Arabidopsis thaliana: one gene and its partner. The protein of the gene in region 1 interacts with the protein of each later gene in a pairwise test. Each region holds a gene or a part of one and is shown on either strand. Other genes may lie near its edges.

Region 1 (10,387 bases):
CAATATAGATATGACACATAATTGATATTTGAACATTGGTTGAATAGGAGGAAGAAGATGTTGCAGCTTTGACTGATATTCCAGAACAAGATGTTGAGATTTTGACTGATGTTCCTGAACAAGGTGTTACAGATTTGACTGATGTTCCATTGACATTTGATCAGGTAATCTTTTAAATTTTTACAATAATAATTTTAGTTATAAGTTGTATTCTAGTTTTATTGAAGTCTACGTAATTTTGAGTTTTGAAATATACTTACAAACGATTGATATAAAAAATATGGTTTTATTGAAGTCTACGTAATTTATCGAAATTGGTTTGATATATATACAATGATATAGCAAATAATTGATGTTTGAATATTAATTGCATAGGAGGAACAATGTGGTGCAGATTTGATAGATGTTTCATTGCCATTTGATGATGTATTTAAACTTTTACAATTCTACTTTAATAAAGTTAATTTTGGTTATAGTTCTCATCAAAATTTATTGAATCCTAGAAAATTCTTACTTTTTGAGAAAAAAAACTATAATGATACACCGATGCCATATTTTCATTTTTATATCAATTATAGAAATATAAAGAGTCTAATAGTATTTGTAGTCTATGAAATGTCACGTGTGTACTAGATCTAATTTCTTATAGCAAATTCATTTACTAGTTTATGTTTTCTGATACAGGATTGGAAGGATGATGGCCTCATGAACTTTATGCTGGATGTTGACGACATGTTTTAAGAAAATCTTTTAATTTTGCTTTTGAAAGTATCAGATTAATATTTGATAACTTTGTTATGTTGTTTAAGATTTTATTTAAAATTTGGATGTTGTTTTGGTTTAAGATTGTTTTCAATTTTTGACGTTGTTTTTGTCATCATGACTCATATTCAATTTGGATGCTATTTAAGTAATTTGTGAATTTCGTAGATGTTTACATGCATATCACTGATTGAATGATTGCATTTGTAGATATATGTTTGGAATCGTAAACCAAATTTTATTTTTATATTTAAAATAAAATGCTACAACTCTTAACAGTTTATTTTAATCATTTCAAAACCTTCGTTCTCTCCCTTTTGCCATCTACTCGCATACTTTTTTTAATCCACATATTTTCTTTTAAATAGTAAATACTACATTGTTTTTAGTATATCACAACAACAAAATTTGATAATGTAACATAAACGACCAATCACAAATCATATACAACTAGACAAAAATAATCACATATGTTACACCTTACAATAAATCTGAAAACTAAGTATAGTATATTATATTATCGTGTAATTAATATCTAGATATTAATTGAATAATTCCCATTTAAATTTTGGGTGAACCGGTCTAACGGGTTGTAGGGTTGCCGTGGAGGCTGAACTAGAATCAAACGTTTCCCATCTTGTTGTTATGATCACCGGAGGACTTGATGAGGAGGCCGTCGGTTTCCTTGACGCCTCCTCGTAAAATGTCAGCATTTCCCGTTCCTTGTATTGCGGCTTTGGTTTCGTTTGCGGTTGCCTTGAGTTCTTGATCTTCAACAAGTCGAGAGCCTCAACATACTTGTGTAATCTTTCCTCCTTCCAACAATTTGTAAATCGAATCATTAGATTCTAACTATACATAAAAAATAATAATTGTCAAAGCGACTTCAAAAACTTGAATAACAAGACTTTATGGGTATGATTGGTAATTACTTATAGAATGGTTCCATAATTCTGCAAATTTATGAATAAAAATTAATAGAGTTGTGTCATCTAGAATTCTAAGTAAAATGAAGAATTAGATTAGTAACAGTGAGTAATAAAACATGATTTAAGTACCTGCATCTTCTTCTTCAATTTAACGTCTCCATCACCTGAGATGGCATCGAGCTTGACCAATTGATTCATCAACATCTCCATCAAATTCTCAAGATTCTTCTCTTCAACTTTCCCTCCTTTACCAATCACTGTATCAAACGCCGACAGCTAAAGTCCAAAAACCAAAAAAAACAATTCTGATTCAAGTTACGAGACAAGAGCGTTGTTATCCGGAAAATTTAAAATTATGTTTCTTAAGTTACTTGTCCGGCGAGTCTTTCGACTTGGAAACTAATATCAGAGATTGCTTTAGATGATTTCTCTTTGGTGGCGATTTTCCTCAACTCAAGGAGACGTTTCTCCTGAGAAATGGGATCTTCTATAAGAATAAGTTTCGAACGATCTTTGACACCAGAAAGATCAAGAAACATCTTTGAGTCTCTTTCTTTGTCTTTGTATATAATCTGCATGTCTTGATGATGAACTCCTGTCGCACCAGACAATATCTTCTTTAATTCCCCTGTTGTTAAATTCAACAACAACAACAATCAAATTCCAAAAACAGAGCATACTAATAGTATAAAGGAAATACTGTATAACTCGGAATGTTTTGTGTCGTTTACCGAAAGTAGATTGAGAGTTGATACTGATCTCGTGATGGACCGACCCGTATTTGACCCGAACCCGAATGCCACGTGGCACGCTTGAGCTATGATCCGTCCTTTTCTGTACAACCATTCCTCCAGGTCGGAGCTCCATTTCACCGTCGCCGGAAGTTGTTGTTCCGATACTCATTTTCATCATTTTCTTTATTAAGAGAGATAGAGAGAAAAAAACAGAGGAATGATGAGATGAAGTTGATTTCTGAAAAAGATCAAGAAGAAGAAGAAGAAAAAAGAAACGTCTGAGCAAAGAGAAGTAAATACACTTTGTTTTGTAATAAATTAATGTTTCTGTTTCTGGACAGAACTCGTGGAAGAAGAAGAAAGATAAGAATCATATAAAGCAGATTATTGTTTTATAAAATTTTATACAATGAGAAAAAAAAGTTAAAGAAAAGAGTGACAGCTAATGTGATTGTTGTTATGTCTCATTATCAGTCCATCACAGATACATATATTTAATATAAATGTTGTATCCCCCACATATTTATTTCTATTTCTGATAAATAATGACGATATATTAATGTCGTTGTTACATTTATATTTATTTGTCATCGTTCTTCTGTATTTTATAAGTCGTGTTCTACGTTTCTAAGTACAGGTAAGCTAATGAAATAACTGAAACAGAAACTTGTGTTACACGTCACGCCTTTAACTCCGACAAACTCTGCAACTTAAAAATCTCTCTTTCTTGCAGATCCACATTGTCTAGAATTATCGTCGGTGTTGTGTGTCTTCTTGCCAAGTTTTGAATGATCCATGGACCGTACGGACCACACACGAGCTTTCTTTGATCATTTCTTGAACAAGCTAGTGCTTTAGAGACAGAGACACCGGTTAGGTTTGACCTCAAGACTGTTCGAGAACAGAGCTTTGAACGGTTGGAGAACAGAGTATAATTATTTATGGGCTAATAATGGGCCTAAAAATACTGAAATAGGCCTGTTGGGTCGTAGCTCCATATAGTTGGATGATCTTGTCGAAATATTTTAGGGGTTGAATTGTCAAAGGGAGTAATATTGGGGTCAATAAGTAATCATGCAAAAAAGAGGATATTTGTCGTAAGCCCACTCATTTACAGCTGCAATCATTGGTACAGTTATTACAAAAAAATAAAATAAAAAACATAATTTGGTCAATCAACTTTAAACTACACGCGTCGCACACGATCCATGCTCTCAATCGAACGATCCACAATTGATTTAACTTTATTGATCGCAAGGTCAAGAATATGCCACGCAATCAAAACAGCTAAAGGTTACCAATCGGTCATACGATACTTGTTACGATAAACAAGACACGTGTCAGTATTGACTAGCGGGTAATAAAAAGTACTTGCAAAACCATAAGCAGATGGGTCACCGGCTTGTCCGGTCAGATTTGGTTCTTACGATTTCCTCTAGGTATATTAACAAAGGCGCGTCAAGTTCATTGCCTAGTTCCAGCTCTCTCCAGGATTTTCCTTTTTTTTATGCAAAAACAACAAACACAAAATAAATAAGAAGATTGTTTATTTTAACTTTATATTACAGCTTGAAATTTCCAGGCAAATTTTTTTCCTTCTTCTTCTTCTTCTTCTTGTCTCATTAATTATCTTCCTCTTCTTCTGTTTCAATTCAGCTGGGTTTAGTTTTAATTTCTAGTTGTGATCTCTCAGCTTTTGTTCTATATTGATCGAAGCTCCACTTAACAGTTCTTCGTACGTTGTTTCCGTGTTCTTCGCTTTTTTATTTTGTAATTTAATTTCGGTTGCTTTTTAAATATCTAACTCCGAGATTTTTAAGGGATTGCTATCTATTTTTTTTTTTTTTGGGGATTGGTTAGTTTCTCGGTTAGTTATGTTAAGTAACGAACTTTAAAATTAGGGTTTTGATTTGGTTTTTTTTTTATTTCAGTGGTTAAGTTCAATGTCTGTGTATCTTTAATAACGCACCAGATTCATGTGTTAGGGAATGTTATTGATCTGATTTTAATCGATACATGTATAATGTTGTAGGTATCAGTAGTAAAGGTGGGACATTTGTGTCGCATTGAGGAAGAAACTTTGGATTTCAGACTCACTTGGGACCTACCCTTTAATGGCTTCTTCAACTTCTGGGATTTTCTTTCAAGGAGATGATGAATCTCAAAGCTTCATTAACTCTCACTTGACTTCCTCTTATGGGAATTCATCTAACTCTGCTCCTGGATGTGGTGGACCTACTGGTGGCTATCACAATCTCAGTATGGTTTCTGGTGATATGCATAATCCGGTTATGATGAGTGTTTCAACACCCGGTCCAAGCGCAGGAGCTAGTTCGCTTGTCACAGATGCTAATTCAGGGCTCTCTGGAGGTGGTCCTCATTTGCAGCGTAGTGCTAGTATCAATAATGAGTCATATATGCGTTTACCGGCGTCTCCTATGTCGTTCTCTTCTAATAATATCAGCATATCTGGTTCATCAGTTGTAGATGGGTCGACTGTGGTACAACGGCATGATCCTAGTGTTCAGCTAGGTGGCTCTAGTGCTACATCACTGCCTACATCACAAACTAATCAAATCCCGCTTTCTATGGCTCGGCGTGCTTCTGAATCGTTCTTTCAGGATCCAAACAACTTAACTCAAGCACGGAAAAAACCTAGATTAGATTCAAAGCAGGATGATGCTTTGCAGCAGCAGATTTTACGTCAGTGGCTTCAGAGACAGGATATATTGCAGCAGCAGCAGCAACAACAACAACAAGGCCAAAATCCACAGTTCCAAATCTTGCTTCAGCAACAAAAGCTGAGGCAACAGCAACAATATCTCCAGTCCCTCCCACCATTGCAACGGGTTCAACTGCAGCAGCAGCAACAAGTGCAGCAACAGCAACAGTTGCAGCAGCAGCACCAACAGCAACAGCAACAGTTGCAACAACAAGGAATGCAAATGCAACTAACCGGTGGGCCAAGACCTTATGAAAATAGCGTTTGCGCTCGAAGATTGATGCAGTACCTATATCATCAGCGACAAAGGCCTTCTGTGAGTGTGCATGTAGTCGTCAAATTTTTTGTTTTATGTGTATTCTAGAAAAAAGCTCTTGACAGATACCAGTCGTGTCATTGCTGATTTTGTAGGAGAGCAGTATTGTTTACTGGAGGAAATTTGTGACGGAGTATTTTTCTCCCCGGGCAAAGAAAAGATGGTGTCTTTCTCATTATGATAATGTGGGGCATAGTGCACTTGGTGTTTCTCCTCAGGCAGCCACGGTTTGTTTCCCTGACTCTTTGTTTTTTTTGGTTTCATACTCTTTATGCTGATCTTACGGTGTAGTTACAAATAGGTTACTTATTCTTGCTTTTTGTATTTTCCATTTGCAGGATGAATGGCAGTGTGATCTATGTGGTTCTAAATCGGGAAGAGGATTTGGTAAGTTCCAATTTGCTTATACCCTGATGAAGAAGAGGGAAATTTCAAAAATGTTTATGGTAGCAAAACATCTTCTCTTAGTAACTTTTTCTTATGGATTCTGCAGAAGCAACTTTTGATGTCTTGCCAAGGCTTAACGAAATCAAATTCGCAAGTGGTGTCCTGGACGAGCTTCTTTATCTGGGTGTACCGTCTGAACGCAGATATGGATCTGGAATTATGGTGTTAGAGTATGGAAAAGCAGTTCAGGAGAGTGTGTACGAACATATCCGTGTTGTTCGCGAAGGCCATCTTCGGATTATATTCTCCCAAGAGCTGAAGGTGGTTTAAAGAGCTTTTGATTCCAAATACTTTTAATCATTAATGTGTATTAAAGTAACTTAGCTTATCCTTTTTCCTTTTGCCAGATTCTCTCATGGGAGTTCTGTACTCGTCGACATGAAGAACTACTTCCTCGTCGCCTAGTAGCTCCACAGGTAACATTAATGGTTCTTACAATCTTTGTGACTCTTTTTGAAATCCCTGGTCTTGAGATTTTTTGAATGTCTGCTCCCTATGGTCGTGCAGGTGAACCAATTGCTTCAGGTTGCAGAGAAATGTCAGAGCACAATTGATCAAAGTGGATCAGATGGGATTCATCAACAAGATTTGCAAGCTAATAGCAACATGTGAGTCTTGATGATTCTAGACAATATTTCACTCTCTTTCTTCCATATTTCTCAATCAATTCAATTTCATTGTTTCTTGCATCTTGTACGGTAATTAGGTAAGATTTTTCACTGATGCAAAGAAGATCAAAGCGATTTTAGCTTAATATATACAAATATGATGTACTGATGCCAAGTCTTTTGCTCCAGGGTCATGGCTGCTGGACGTCAACTAGCAAAAAGCTTGGAGTCACATTCACTCAATGACTTAGGCTTCTCAAAACGATATGTTCGGTGTCTGCAGGTATCTCTCTGCCTACTTTCTTGCATTTTCCTGGTGGCGTGTCTCCTTTTTACTGTTTAACTCTTGCCATCTTCTTTAAACAGATTTCTGAGGTTGTCAGCAGCATGAAAGATATGATTGACTTTTGCCGTGACCAAAAAGTGGGTCCAATCGGTAAGTTAATACATAAATCCCAGAGAGTCCCTGAGATTCATCAAAACGCTTTTTTTTTACTTGGCTGTGCTTATAAAAAGCTTTCTTGCTACCTTTTAACATTTGCAGAGGCTTTGAAGAGCTATCCATATCGAATGAAGGCTGGTAAACCTCAGATGCAGGAGATGGAGCAACTAGCGGCTGCCCGAGGGCTTCCACCTGATAGGAACAGTCTCAACAAGCTAATGGCCTTGCGCAATTCCGGGATAAACATACCAATGAACAACATGAGCGGTCAAGGATCTCTTCCCGGCTCTGCACAAGCTGCCGCTTTTGCGCTTACCAACTACCAGAGCATGCTCATGAAACAAAACCATCTGAATTCAGACCTAAACAACACCACAATCCAGCAAGAACCATCAAGAAACCGGAGTGCATCCCCGAGCTATCAAGGAACTAGTCCCTTGTTACCTGGTTTTGTGCATAGCCCATCAATAAGTGGTGTATCTTCCCATCTATCTCCTCAGCGGCAAATGCCAAGCTCCAGTTATAATGGCTCAACCCAGCAATACCACCAACAGCCACCTTCCTGTAGTAGCGGTAACCAAACATTGGAACAACAAATGATTCATCAAATATGGCAACAGATGGCAAACAGCAATGGAGGCTCCGGTCAACAACAACAGTCACTTTCTGGTCAGAACATGATGAATTGCAATACCAACATGGGAAGAAACAGAACAGATTATGTTCCCGCAGCAGCTGAAACACCAAGCACCTCCAACAGATTCAGAGGCATCAAGGGGTTAGACCAAAGCCAAAACCTGGAAGGTATTATCTCTAATACATCGCTCAACTTTGGGAATAACGGGGTTTTTAGCAATGAGGTTGATGAAAGCATGGGAGGATATTCTTGGAAGTCATGAGAGGCATTTTGATAGTTAGCTCCAATGTTGTCTTTGTAAAGAACGAGTTACTAAAGACTAACTTTCTTAGGTATATGAATCTGATGAGGGGGATTCAATGTTAACGTGTCTACTGTGTTGTTGTTCTTTCTTCTTCTTAGATTAAAGCTTCTCTTTTTATGAAGAGGTTTTTCTGGAAAGTGTTACTAATTCTGGAAAAGAAAAAAGACTGTTCTTCAGGAACTCATCGCTATCAATCAATATTTTACCTTTTTTCTTATGACTTTTTTTAAGCCTCGTTTATTTAAAGCTGATACAGTTACAAACATCGGTAACACGTCACAAACAAGCCAGACACATGCTATTTTTTTCTCTGAAATTTTAATAAAATGTATTTGTGACGTGATTTTAAATCATACAAAATTCCACAAATACGGATATGTAATCTTCATCTACTTGCACTAATACAGTAATACTTTTCATCTTCAATATACCAACCATCCTACTATCTACAAGAGATAATTTGTCAACTCCTTTTACCATAGTTAATTTCATATATTACATAATTTTGTATATGAAATATTTTTGCTTTGCACTAAAGAATAAAATAAATAAATAAAAAAACCTTGCACTCAGCGTGGTGGATAGAGAACAGAGTGATTTACTTTCACATGTAAATCTTGTGAACTAACTAGACCATGTGACCATGCCAAACGTCTCCTCAACTCATCTAATTAATCACTCAAAATATACACTCAAAACATTATATAAATGATAAATCTAAACATATGATATCATATACATAGAACTACATCAGATATCTATAGAAACAAACTTATCCATGGCAATAATGGCATCGTTCAAGTCTTTCGCAGCCGTTCTCAGTGTCCTTTTTCTTGCCATGACTGCTATAGAAACGGTAGTTCAAGCCCAAGAATGTGGCAACGATCTAGCAAATGTGCAGGTATGCGCCGCCATGGTGCTGCCCGGTTCAGGCAGACCAAATTCAGAGTGTTGCGCCGCACTTCAATCTACTAATAGAGATTGTCTATGCAACGCTCTCCGTGCAGCCACCTCTCTTCCTTCGCTTTGTAACCTTCCTCCTGTGGATTGTGGTACGGATTTATTTACTTTTAACCAAGAAGTTTGATATTTGGCTCGTTATCCCAAGATGAGGATGAATAAAACAAATCTCAATATATATTTAGTTTTAGTTACCAACATTTTAGACTTGGCCTAATATATGGCCAAACCAAAAAGACTTGGCCTAAGATTCCAAGTAGATTAAGTAGGATAAAACCTCATATATCAGCTCTAGCTAACTCGGCTAATGTAGTAATGTGTTTATTTAATGATATATAGACCTCTATTTCATATCTGTTTCTGAGGTTTTTTTGTTTTTTTGTTTGTTTTGTTTTTGGGTTGTGCAGGTATAAATGCTTAGTTAAGCTACGAGTCAATTCCAAGATGATCAAGGAAAACGGGAAAATAAAGAATAATGAGAAATATTCCAGTCTTATGTTTTTTCTTCTAACTTCTGCTTTACTATAATAAAGTTCTAGTAGTTTTGCTTAGAAATTTAGATACTACTAGTATAATAAAAAGCTTTGATAATTATGAGAATAAAACATTCCCGGTCTGAAACCAAATTATTCTTAAACATGTACGTACGTAAGTCTAGACATCAGAAATAAATTAGATTAGTGACTTGTTTAATATGCATGGAAAATCATGTTAGTTTTCATTGTTGCCAAGCTAACAATGTTTGTTTAAAAGCTAGAAAGTCTAAAAATTGCACCTGACCCCTCTAGTGCTTGTTGCTGAATACGACTTGAGGAGGATAGTATTTATTAGTGGTTATAGACGATCGTTATCACAGCTAGTCTTTATTTTCGAATGTTCCCTATTTGTTTTCCTTTTTCGTAGACTTACTTCTAAACTGCATCCTACTGAACAGTAAAATATAGATAACTAAACAAATAGATAGATGAATAAACGAAGAAAACAACACCTTTCAAAATCGAGGGGTTAATCTAGCTAGTGATTAACAACTTCTCTTTATAGAATTTGAAGTACAAGAAGAATTTGAATTGTGCCACCAGAATAACAACCTATGTAACATTTGTATGGCCTGGATAAAAGATAAACACCTATCATCCACACAAAATATATTTCTGATTTCAAAAACATATTCCATACACATTTGTAAAGTTTGCAGTCATTGTATTGGATTGAAGCAAAGAAAAAAGCTGCCAAATTGCAGAAGTCACAGACACTAGACTGCAGTGAAATTATGGGCTTCAAAGAATGACACGTCCTCCCAATTATTCTCTTTTCTTCATTATTTATTTTTCATACGTTTTCTACATAATTCAAAGATCTAATATTCACTTCACAATTCACATTACAGAAAAAGTTAAATAAAATAAAAAATGACGTAATTGATATTAAATGGTTTGAACAAAACCACAAAGCACAGATCTGGTACGGTTGGTAGGATTAGTCAGGCCCATTGACTTTAACCGACGCCCTTTAGATAAAGTCAAGCT
Region 2 (7,519 bases), on another chromosome or scaffold:
CGTTAGACCCGAGACTCTATGCACAGGCACGGCCAACTACGGCCACGGAAACATCATCCGCACCGGCGGAAAGGTGAGTCACGCGACGAAAGCGGCGGCGGAAATGAGTGACTCAGAGGAGGTGAAGAAGGCAGGTAACGTAATGTATAGGAAAGGGAATTACGCCGAGGCATTGGCTCTTTACGACAGAGCTATCTCATTGTCACCGGAAAATCCAGCTTATAGAAGCAATCGTGCGGCAGCGTTGGCTGCGTCAGGGAGGTTAGAAGAAGCAGTTAAAGAATGCCTTGAAGCTGTGAGATGTGATCCTTCTTACGCTAGAGCTCATCAGAGACTCGCTTCTCTTTATCTAAGGTAAAAAAAATTCTATCCTTTAAAAAGTTTTGATTGAAAAAGGATTAGTATTTGATTGGTTTGGTTTTAGATTGGGAGAAGCTGAGAATGCGAGACGTCATCTTTGTGTTTCCGGACAATGTCCCGATCAAGCTGATTTGCAGAGGTTGCAGACGCTTGAGAAGCATCTCAGACTGTGTACGGAGGCTCGAAAGATCGGTGATTGGAGAACGGTGATTAGCGAAATCGATGCAGCCATTGCAAATGGAGCTGATTCTTCTCCTCAGGTTAGAGATCAAAAAGTGGCATTGATTGCCTCTTTTGTGGTTGAATTATCAGCGAAAAGACTTTATCTTTTAAACAATGAGGTTTGATCTTGTGCAGCTTGTAGCTTGTAAAGCTGAAGCCTTTTTGCGGCTTCATCAGATAAAGGATTCAGATTTGTGTATATCCAGCATTCCGAGATTGGATCATCACCATACTCAACCACCTGAGAAACTATTTGGTATAGTATGTGATGCTTATGTGCTCTGTGTTCAAGCTCAAGTTGATATGGCGTTAGGAAGGTGAGCTTCGAAATGCTTAAACTTCGAATGGTGTTTTTGATTCTTTATTAGTAGTCTTGTTTGGTTCTTGGGTGAGTGAGTAGAGATGTTAGGTTTGTTGCAGATTTGAGAATGCGATTGTAAAGGTGGAGAGAGCCATGACGATTGATCATAGCAATAGTCCCGAGGTAGTATCGGTCTTAAACAATGTGAAGAATGTGGCGAAAGCTCGTACCCGAGGAAACGAGCTTTTTAGTTCGGGGAGATACTCGGAAGCGAGTGTGGCTTATGGGGACGGACTCAAGTTGGATGCTTTCAATTCGGTTTTGTATTGTAATAGAGCGGCATGTTGGTTTAAACTCGGTATGTGGGAGAAATCTGTTGATGATTGTAATCAAGCGCTAAGAATTCAGCCTAGTTACACCAAAGCTCTTCTCCGAAGAGCTGCTTCGTATGGAAAGGTTAGATTGAAGACACTGAATGGTTTTGAACCGAGTTTCTAATTAAGTATTTGGATTAACAAATGTTAAATGCAGCTTGGCCGATGGGAGGATGCGGTCAGAGATTATGAAGTATTGAGAAAGGAACTTCCAGGAGACAGTGAGGTTGCTGAGTCTTTACAGAGAGCAAGGAACGCTCTATCGAACAAATCCGAAGAACCTAAATATTTGGGATTCAATAACGAAGTTGAAGAAGTTTCGACCTTAGATAAGTTCAAGACCGCAACATCACTGCCCGGTATAAACTAGCTAACTCACTTTGCAAGTGTTAGTTTCAAGATTCCTCTCTTTGCTAAACAAAAAAAAATGGAAATATTTTTCAGGAATCTCTGTGTTTCATTTCAAATCATCATCAAACCGGCAAAGCGAAGCAATATCTCCATTCGTCAACACTTTATGCTTACGGTATCCATTAGTACATTTTTTCAAGGCAAGTCACTTGTTCTTATGCTCAATCGCGCAAAATGGTTATCGTTTTTGGTCTAACGCTTTAACGGGGTTTGTTTGTCTATAGGTGGACGTAGAGGAGAGCTTGGCATTGGCGAAAGCAGAGAGCATCAAGAAAATTCCAACGTTTAAGATTTATAAGAAGGGAGAGAAAGTGAAGGAAATGGTATGTCCTAGTCATCAGTTACTAGAGGACTCTGTTACGCATTTCCTCTTATAACATATCTCTCTTCTCATTCTTTCAAATCTTTAGTCTTCACGAACGTAAATTGATTCAAAGAGCCATTTTGTTAATTGAAATTTTCATTCTTTTGTTTTGCTTTACTGTATTATCATATTGAAACCTGCTCCGATTGTATTAATCCGAGGAAAATGCATGTTTCTCAATTATCGTTCATGCAAAAAGGCCCCAATTTAATGGTTCATTTGGTTTTCTTATTTTTGTTTGTTTTAGAAACTCTTACTTATTACAAATGGGTCCTGGTGGGCTGGGTTACTTGTAATAACACTGCTTTCAATAAAATATCCATTGACAAATAAACTATAGTTTCATAGAAGGAATTTGAGGCGCCAATACAGAACACAAACTATGACAAAGTCTCAATGAGAGCAAAAATGATTTGCCTCACATTTTGGGCAAAGGTTATGAATCTCAAGTTCTTAACATTTCATATTAAAGTCTCTTAAACTTAACATGTTATGGAGTTGAGAACTTGAGATTTGTAATAGATAAATAATGAATTACTAGGATATAGCGGTATATCCCTGAAGATTTTTTTTTTATTTTCCACCTCATTAAATCATAAATTAGAACACAAACTAAGAAATACCAAACAATACTAACCAATATAATTTTGCTGAAAACTGTTTCTTGTACTGTTTCATTGTGTAGATATACCAATATAACGTCACCAATTTTTTTTTCAATCCTGGGTTGGAATCGGAATCTTCTAAAAGGGTTAAAATTTACAAAACAAAGAGAAACTCATGTTTCTTTGTTACCATATCTTCTATTGGTTGGTGGAAGAACGCTGACTTTCTCTCATCTTCATCAAAATGGCTACAATCACAAACTCATGATGCTGCAAACAAAACCAACGACTTAGCCCAACAAGTCTACACATTTTGTACATAGGCAAAGTTTTGATCGACTAGGGAGTTTTAAATATAAATAAAGGAGTCGTACCTCTAGAAGTAACTAGGGAAATCCATCATCCCATAATCAAGAGCTGCATAAACAGAAAAAGTTCACTTATTATTCATACATAGACCTGCTGCTGATAATTTGTTCTAGTGGTCAAACATGTAATGCAAAGAGGAATTCATCAAATTAGCAGGTGACTAACAAGTAAAGAAATATGGACCAAGCGAAAACGAAAGAAACAAATGTCTGTCGTGTAATGCCATAGCCAAGTTGCAGGAAAGATTTGATGCATCCAAAAAAAAATCAAATTTTGTCTCCTGAGACTATATGTCAGAAACTAATGGTTGATGCATCCGAAAAATCCTTCCACATATCATGCATTCTCTTTTCAAACATCCATACCCATTATTTCCTAACTTTCGAAGCAGTTAGCATGTAAACTCACAATCTTCTCAATCAACTAACCAACAAAAAGGCTACTCTACACTCAAAACTTACTGGGCATCACACTCAAAACACTTCACAAAGCACTCATGCTTAACAACAAACAGAAGCAGATTCAAGTTTCTAGCTCATGAACTGCTTCCCAACTAATGCTCACATCAGTCATTGTAGAAAAACTTTCCACACTCAGACTATAATTACAAGAAACACAAGTAACAAAGCAACAACATCTAGGAGAAAAATGTAACCAGGACCTCCTCCTTACCATGAATACCAATACTTGCTACTAATTAGTTTATTTTTGTTCAGATTCATCATCTCTGTGCGATATCAATTTGTTCTTGTACTTTGATTGGGTTTATTATAGCCGTCGTTGGCACAGAGACTATCACAAGTAAAAAGGTAAAATTTGTTTCTACTCTTATGCTATAGTCACTGTTACACAGCTAAACAATGGAGAAAGACATAGAATTCTGAACAGATTACGAAATACGGCGAGAGAAAGGATTCAGGTCTCACCGGCGGAGGCGGAGGAAGTCGGTCCTTTGGAGCCAGAGGTACGCCGGAGCTTATGAAGACGTACCTGCATCTCCGTGAACAGTTGCATCCTATGGCATTCCAATTCCTTAGCGAATCTCATTCTCTGCTTCTCCAATTCAACCATTTCCTTCCTCTTCTTCTCCTCGACTCTCTCGTATATCTGTCCAAGCCTCTCAATTGCGTCGGCAACTTCCTTGTAGCCTTGCTTCTTCTCAATTTTCCTCTCCCGCTTCTTGTTACTCCCGCTACGACCGCTCGATCTAGACCTTGAACCTTCCGAGTCATCTTCAGACGCCGGACACGCCGCCGCCGCTGCGGCTGCCGCGAATGCGTTGAGATTCCCGCGAAATCCGAGTAAATCGTCACCGGCGTGAGGTATAATCGCCGGCGATGTCGCCGGACGTCTGGGGATCGCCGATCGTGGAGCGACCGGAACTGGATTAATGGACATCGGAAGTGATAGCCTCTGGTGCGGGATGTTATCAGTTGAATCAGGATTACTAGACGTCGGAAAGCTTTCCCGGAGAAGGTCATCGAGAGCGGAGAAGAAAGGCCAAGGGCTGATGTAGGCACCGGGATTGGATTCCGAAACCCTAGCCTTCTCGACTTTGTACTTCTTCTTCAGAGTATCGATCCGGTTTTTACACTGAACGTCGGTGCGATACGGCTGCGATTTGGCGGCGGAAACGTTTCGACCGGTGTTGTAGTGACGGTCGTTAACGGCGTTAGCCACCTCTTGCCAGTGTTTCTGACGGAGATTACCTCGGCTGAGGTCGACGTAGCGATTACCCCAGGCTTGGATGAGCGTGAAGGTCGCTTCCTCGCTCCAGCAATCTTCACGAGAAAGCGTCGCCGGCGAAGGTCGGGAAGATCCCGGCGAAAAGGAATCGTTGACGGTGTCCATTATAAGGTGAACGACGGCGAGTTAGATCGAAGAAGATGAACGGTGAGGATGAGATAAACGGAGGTGAACGGTGACAGTGACGGTAACGGAATTGAAGAGAAACGAAGTTCTTTTTTTTTAAAAAGACAAACCAGCGTTTTTGCTTTGTGTGCATGTACTAAACCGTGAGCCAGACTAAACGAGCCAGCTCTAGCTAATTTATATACATCGTTAATTTGGTTTTTATTTTTTAACAGCTAAAACGTTTTAATTTTTATTTTATTTTGTTAATGTTGACTACCGAACAAGATAATATTTCTCTATATTTTTTTTTCTTACAAAAGCTTTAAATATTCATTTTAATATGCAATTTGATAAGTCTAAAGTTAATTAGTAATATTATGTGTGGTAGTTCTAATTAAATTTCATTATGAATCGTTGGTAATATATTTTTTTTTTGGGTGAATCGTTGGTAATATAATATGTAAGTTTTGGTTGATATTTTCCTTTTTTTTTGTTGTCTAACTTAATTAGAATATGATAACGGTTCCAAATGAATTGGTATCACATCCTAAATAGTATGTAATTGACAAATTTATAGCATGGTGAAATTTCTGAAACTGTAGATTGTAGAGAAAAATCAAAGCTAATTAAAAAATCGGATATGGCTCGTTAGATGTTTGGTTTAGTTTCCGTAAAATGTAATGATAGTACTGCCAAGTAGAATATGATCAAACGATCTATTTTTGTAAGTTAATGACACATTGCTATATTAGAATAAGTTATTCTAAGTTTTGTGTGTTTAGGTGATAAGCTAAATGGGTAACGCGAACTACTAGTATCGTTGTTATATCACCGAATTTAAACTCGGTACTAGAATGTATGTTGTTGTCAAATAGGTAATGACAAATTACGGCTACGAACATAAAATCGTTTTTTCTTTAAATAACTAGAAGTTCTGCAAAAACTGTAGTTTGCTCTTTTTTCTTTGTCAATCAAAGCTCCTTTTCATTTCTTAAGGCACGAAATATAAACGAAAAGTACATGTATTTGTCCGTAATTTTCTTATAGCAAATGCAAAGCAGGGAACAAACCTTATGGTACGAAAAAGAGTAGCAAGCTTGATCATTTAAACTGAAAGAATGAGCAACTCTTCTCACCTTTTGTAAAATTTATAAGACTTACTTTTTTGTTTCAGAGGTTTTGAAATTTACGAATTTGCAAATGATTAAACGGAAAAGAGTTCCACAAAGCTTTTTGTGGATGTGAAAGCGCCAAAGTTCTTTTGTACAAACTCAAAGGAGAAAGCCAACAATATTCAAAAAAAAGAAACGAAGAAAACAAAAACCTCTCTCGCTGCAAAGTTTTATATTCACAGAAGGAAAATATGATTGAGAGAAAGTTAGCAAAGCGAATACTCACAATCCAGCAAACGAGAGAGTATCTCATTGCAACTCGGTCTTTGTTCCGGTTCTGTCCAACAATCTGCGAACAAGAGACAACACATCAGAAAAGGATACTCCATAAACCCCAAACAAAGCTTCAGGAAAAACGAAATAACAACACTTTGACAAGTCACAAGACCTGCAATAAGCTTTCCCAGTGGTCCTTCAGGAATCTCAAGCCGAGCTCCCTCGTAAGCAATAGCATAAACAACCTGAGAAGAAATATGAGGAAACTTGTTATATATACACATATGTCACTAAAGAGTCTTCTTCTTGTTCAGTTAAGTTACCCGTTCAGGCGGTACTCCTTCCCAAGGTCTGGTTAAAGTGCATAGCTCCCACATTATTACACCTAAACTGAAGATATCACACTTTTCTGAGAAGGGCTCATTGCGGATAAGTTCAGGAGCCATCCACTCTGGAGTTCCTGCAGAGACTGTGTCTCTCATTGTTGTCCCTGTCATTATTCTCGACAGCCCAAAATCACAGATCTTGACTGTCCATTTGTTGCTCAAAAGACAGTTTGCACTCTTTATATCACGGTGTACTATCCCCATCCGGTGTATACACATCAATCCCCTAGCAACATTTTACAAGTTTAAACGCTGTTTGTTAATTAAAGATGATTACGAAACTTTCTCATCGAGACACAATTCCAGGTCCTATTTGGAAGTGTTATTGCCTTCTCCTCAAACCAAAATTTTCCATATTAATACTACATACTATGTTGGAAAGAAGGATACACGGTTTTGTATGGAAGATGAAATTACCTGCAAATGTCCCGCAGCATCTTTAGCTTCCTCCGCCAGCTTAACCTCTTTTTTTGTCCACTCAAGTGGAGCAAGTAATACAAAGATCCCATTTCCATGTACTCAGTGATCAGTGATAATCGTGGAGGCTTTGTGCATGCTCCAAGGAACAGTATAACTACAAGAAGTCGAAGATGCATGCATTGATGAAAACATATACTAAAATCTCACAGTGAAAATTCATAGAGATAGATGAGTAGTTTAGTACCATTGGGATGTCTAAGTCGGCTAGTGGTTATTTGGACGCAGAAGGAGAAGGCAGGAAAGAAAGTCAGAAGACAAGTAAAGACGTTATTGCCAATTTTGAATAAAACAGAGAAAGCCTATAGACATACCTAAGAATTGATATCTCATTGCAGAAATCCTCCATGTTCTCAGCTGTAAGGTCTTGCTCAAGGAACACTTTGATAGCAACGTCTGTCCCGTTCC

The links. Proteins that work in one complex are often made in the same cells at the same time.
Region 2: the proteins of SLK2 (region 1) and AT3G58630 interact in a two-hybrid assay, tested with the Arabidopsis thaliana proteins (one large-scale study listed by BioGRID).

Annotation. Positions count from the first base shown.
Region 1 is NC_003076.8:24,932,693-24,943,079, reverse strand, and holds SLK2 (SEUSS-like 2), read left to right. Parts: upstream 1-3,840; 5' UTR 3,841-4,160; exon of another isoform or gene 4,161-4,457; 5' UTR 4,458-4,539; coding exon 4,540-5,463; intron 5,464-5,558; coding exon 5,559-5,690; intron 5,691-5,801; coding exon 5,802-5,850; intron 5,851-5,956; coding exon 5,957-6,171; intron 6,172-6,257; coding exon 6,258-6,326; intron 6,327-6,417; coding exon 6,418-6,518; intron 6,519-6,707; coding exon 6,708-6,801; intron 6,802-6,884; coding exon 6,885-6,954; intron 6,955-7,062; coding exon 7,063-7,859; 3' UTR 7,860-8,118; downstream 8,119-10,387. Other genes in the region: AT5G62110 (Homeodomain-like superfamily protein), read left to right, coding at 48-164, 685-741; BAG2 (BCL-2-associated athanogene 2), read right to left, coding at 1,305-1,610, 1,821-1,967, 2,063-2,319, 2,423-2,603; AT5G62080 (Bifunctional inhibitor/lipid-transfer protein/seed storage 2S albumin superfamily protein), read left to right, coding at 8,680-8,953, 9,269-9,282. UniProt on the Arabidopsis thaliana protein: Probable transcription regulator that functions in the development of the carpel margin meristem similarly to SEUSS (SEU).
Region 2 is NC_003074.8:21,680,915-21,688,433, forward strand, and holds AT3G58630 (sequence-specific DNA binding transcription factor), read right to left. Parts: upstream 5,126-7,519; 5' UTR 4,858-5,125; coding exon 3,933-4,857; coding exon of another isoform or gene 3,922-3,932; exon of another isoform or gene 3,055-3,921; coding exon 3,014-3,054; 3' UTR 3,012-3,013; intron 2,908-3,011; 3' UTR 2,616-2,907; downstream 1-2,615. Other genes in the region: TTL4 (tetratricopetide-repeat thioredoxin-like 4), read left to right, coding at 1-354, 425-620, 718-899, 1,003-1,339, 1,415-1,616, 1,702-1,808, 1,893-2,045; AT3G58640 (Mitogen activated protein kinase kinase kinase-like protein), read right to left, coding at 6,239-6,321, 6,421-6,493, 6,572-6,860, 7,052-7,208, 7,299-7,318, 7,426-7,519.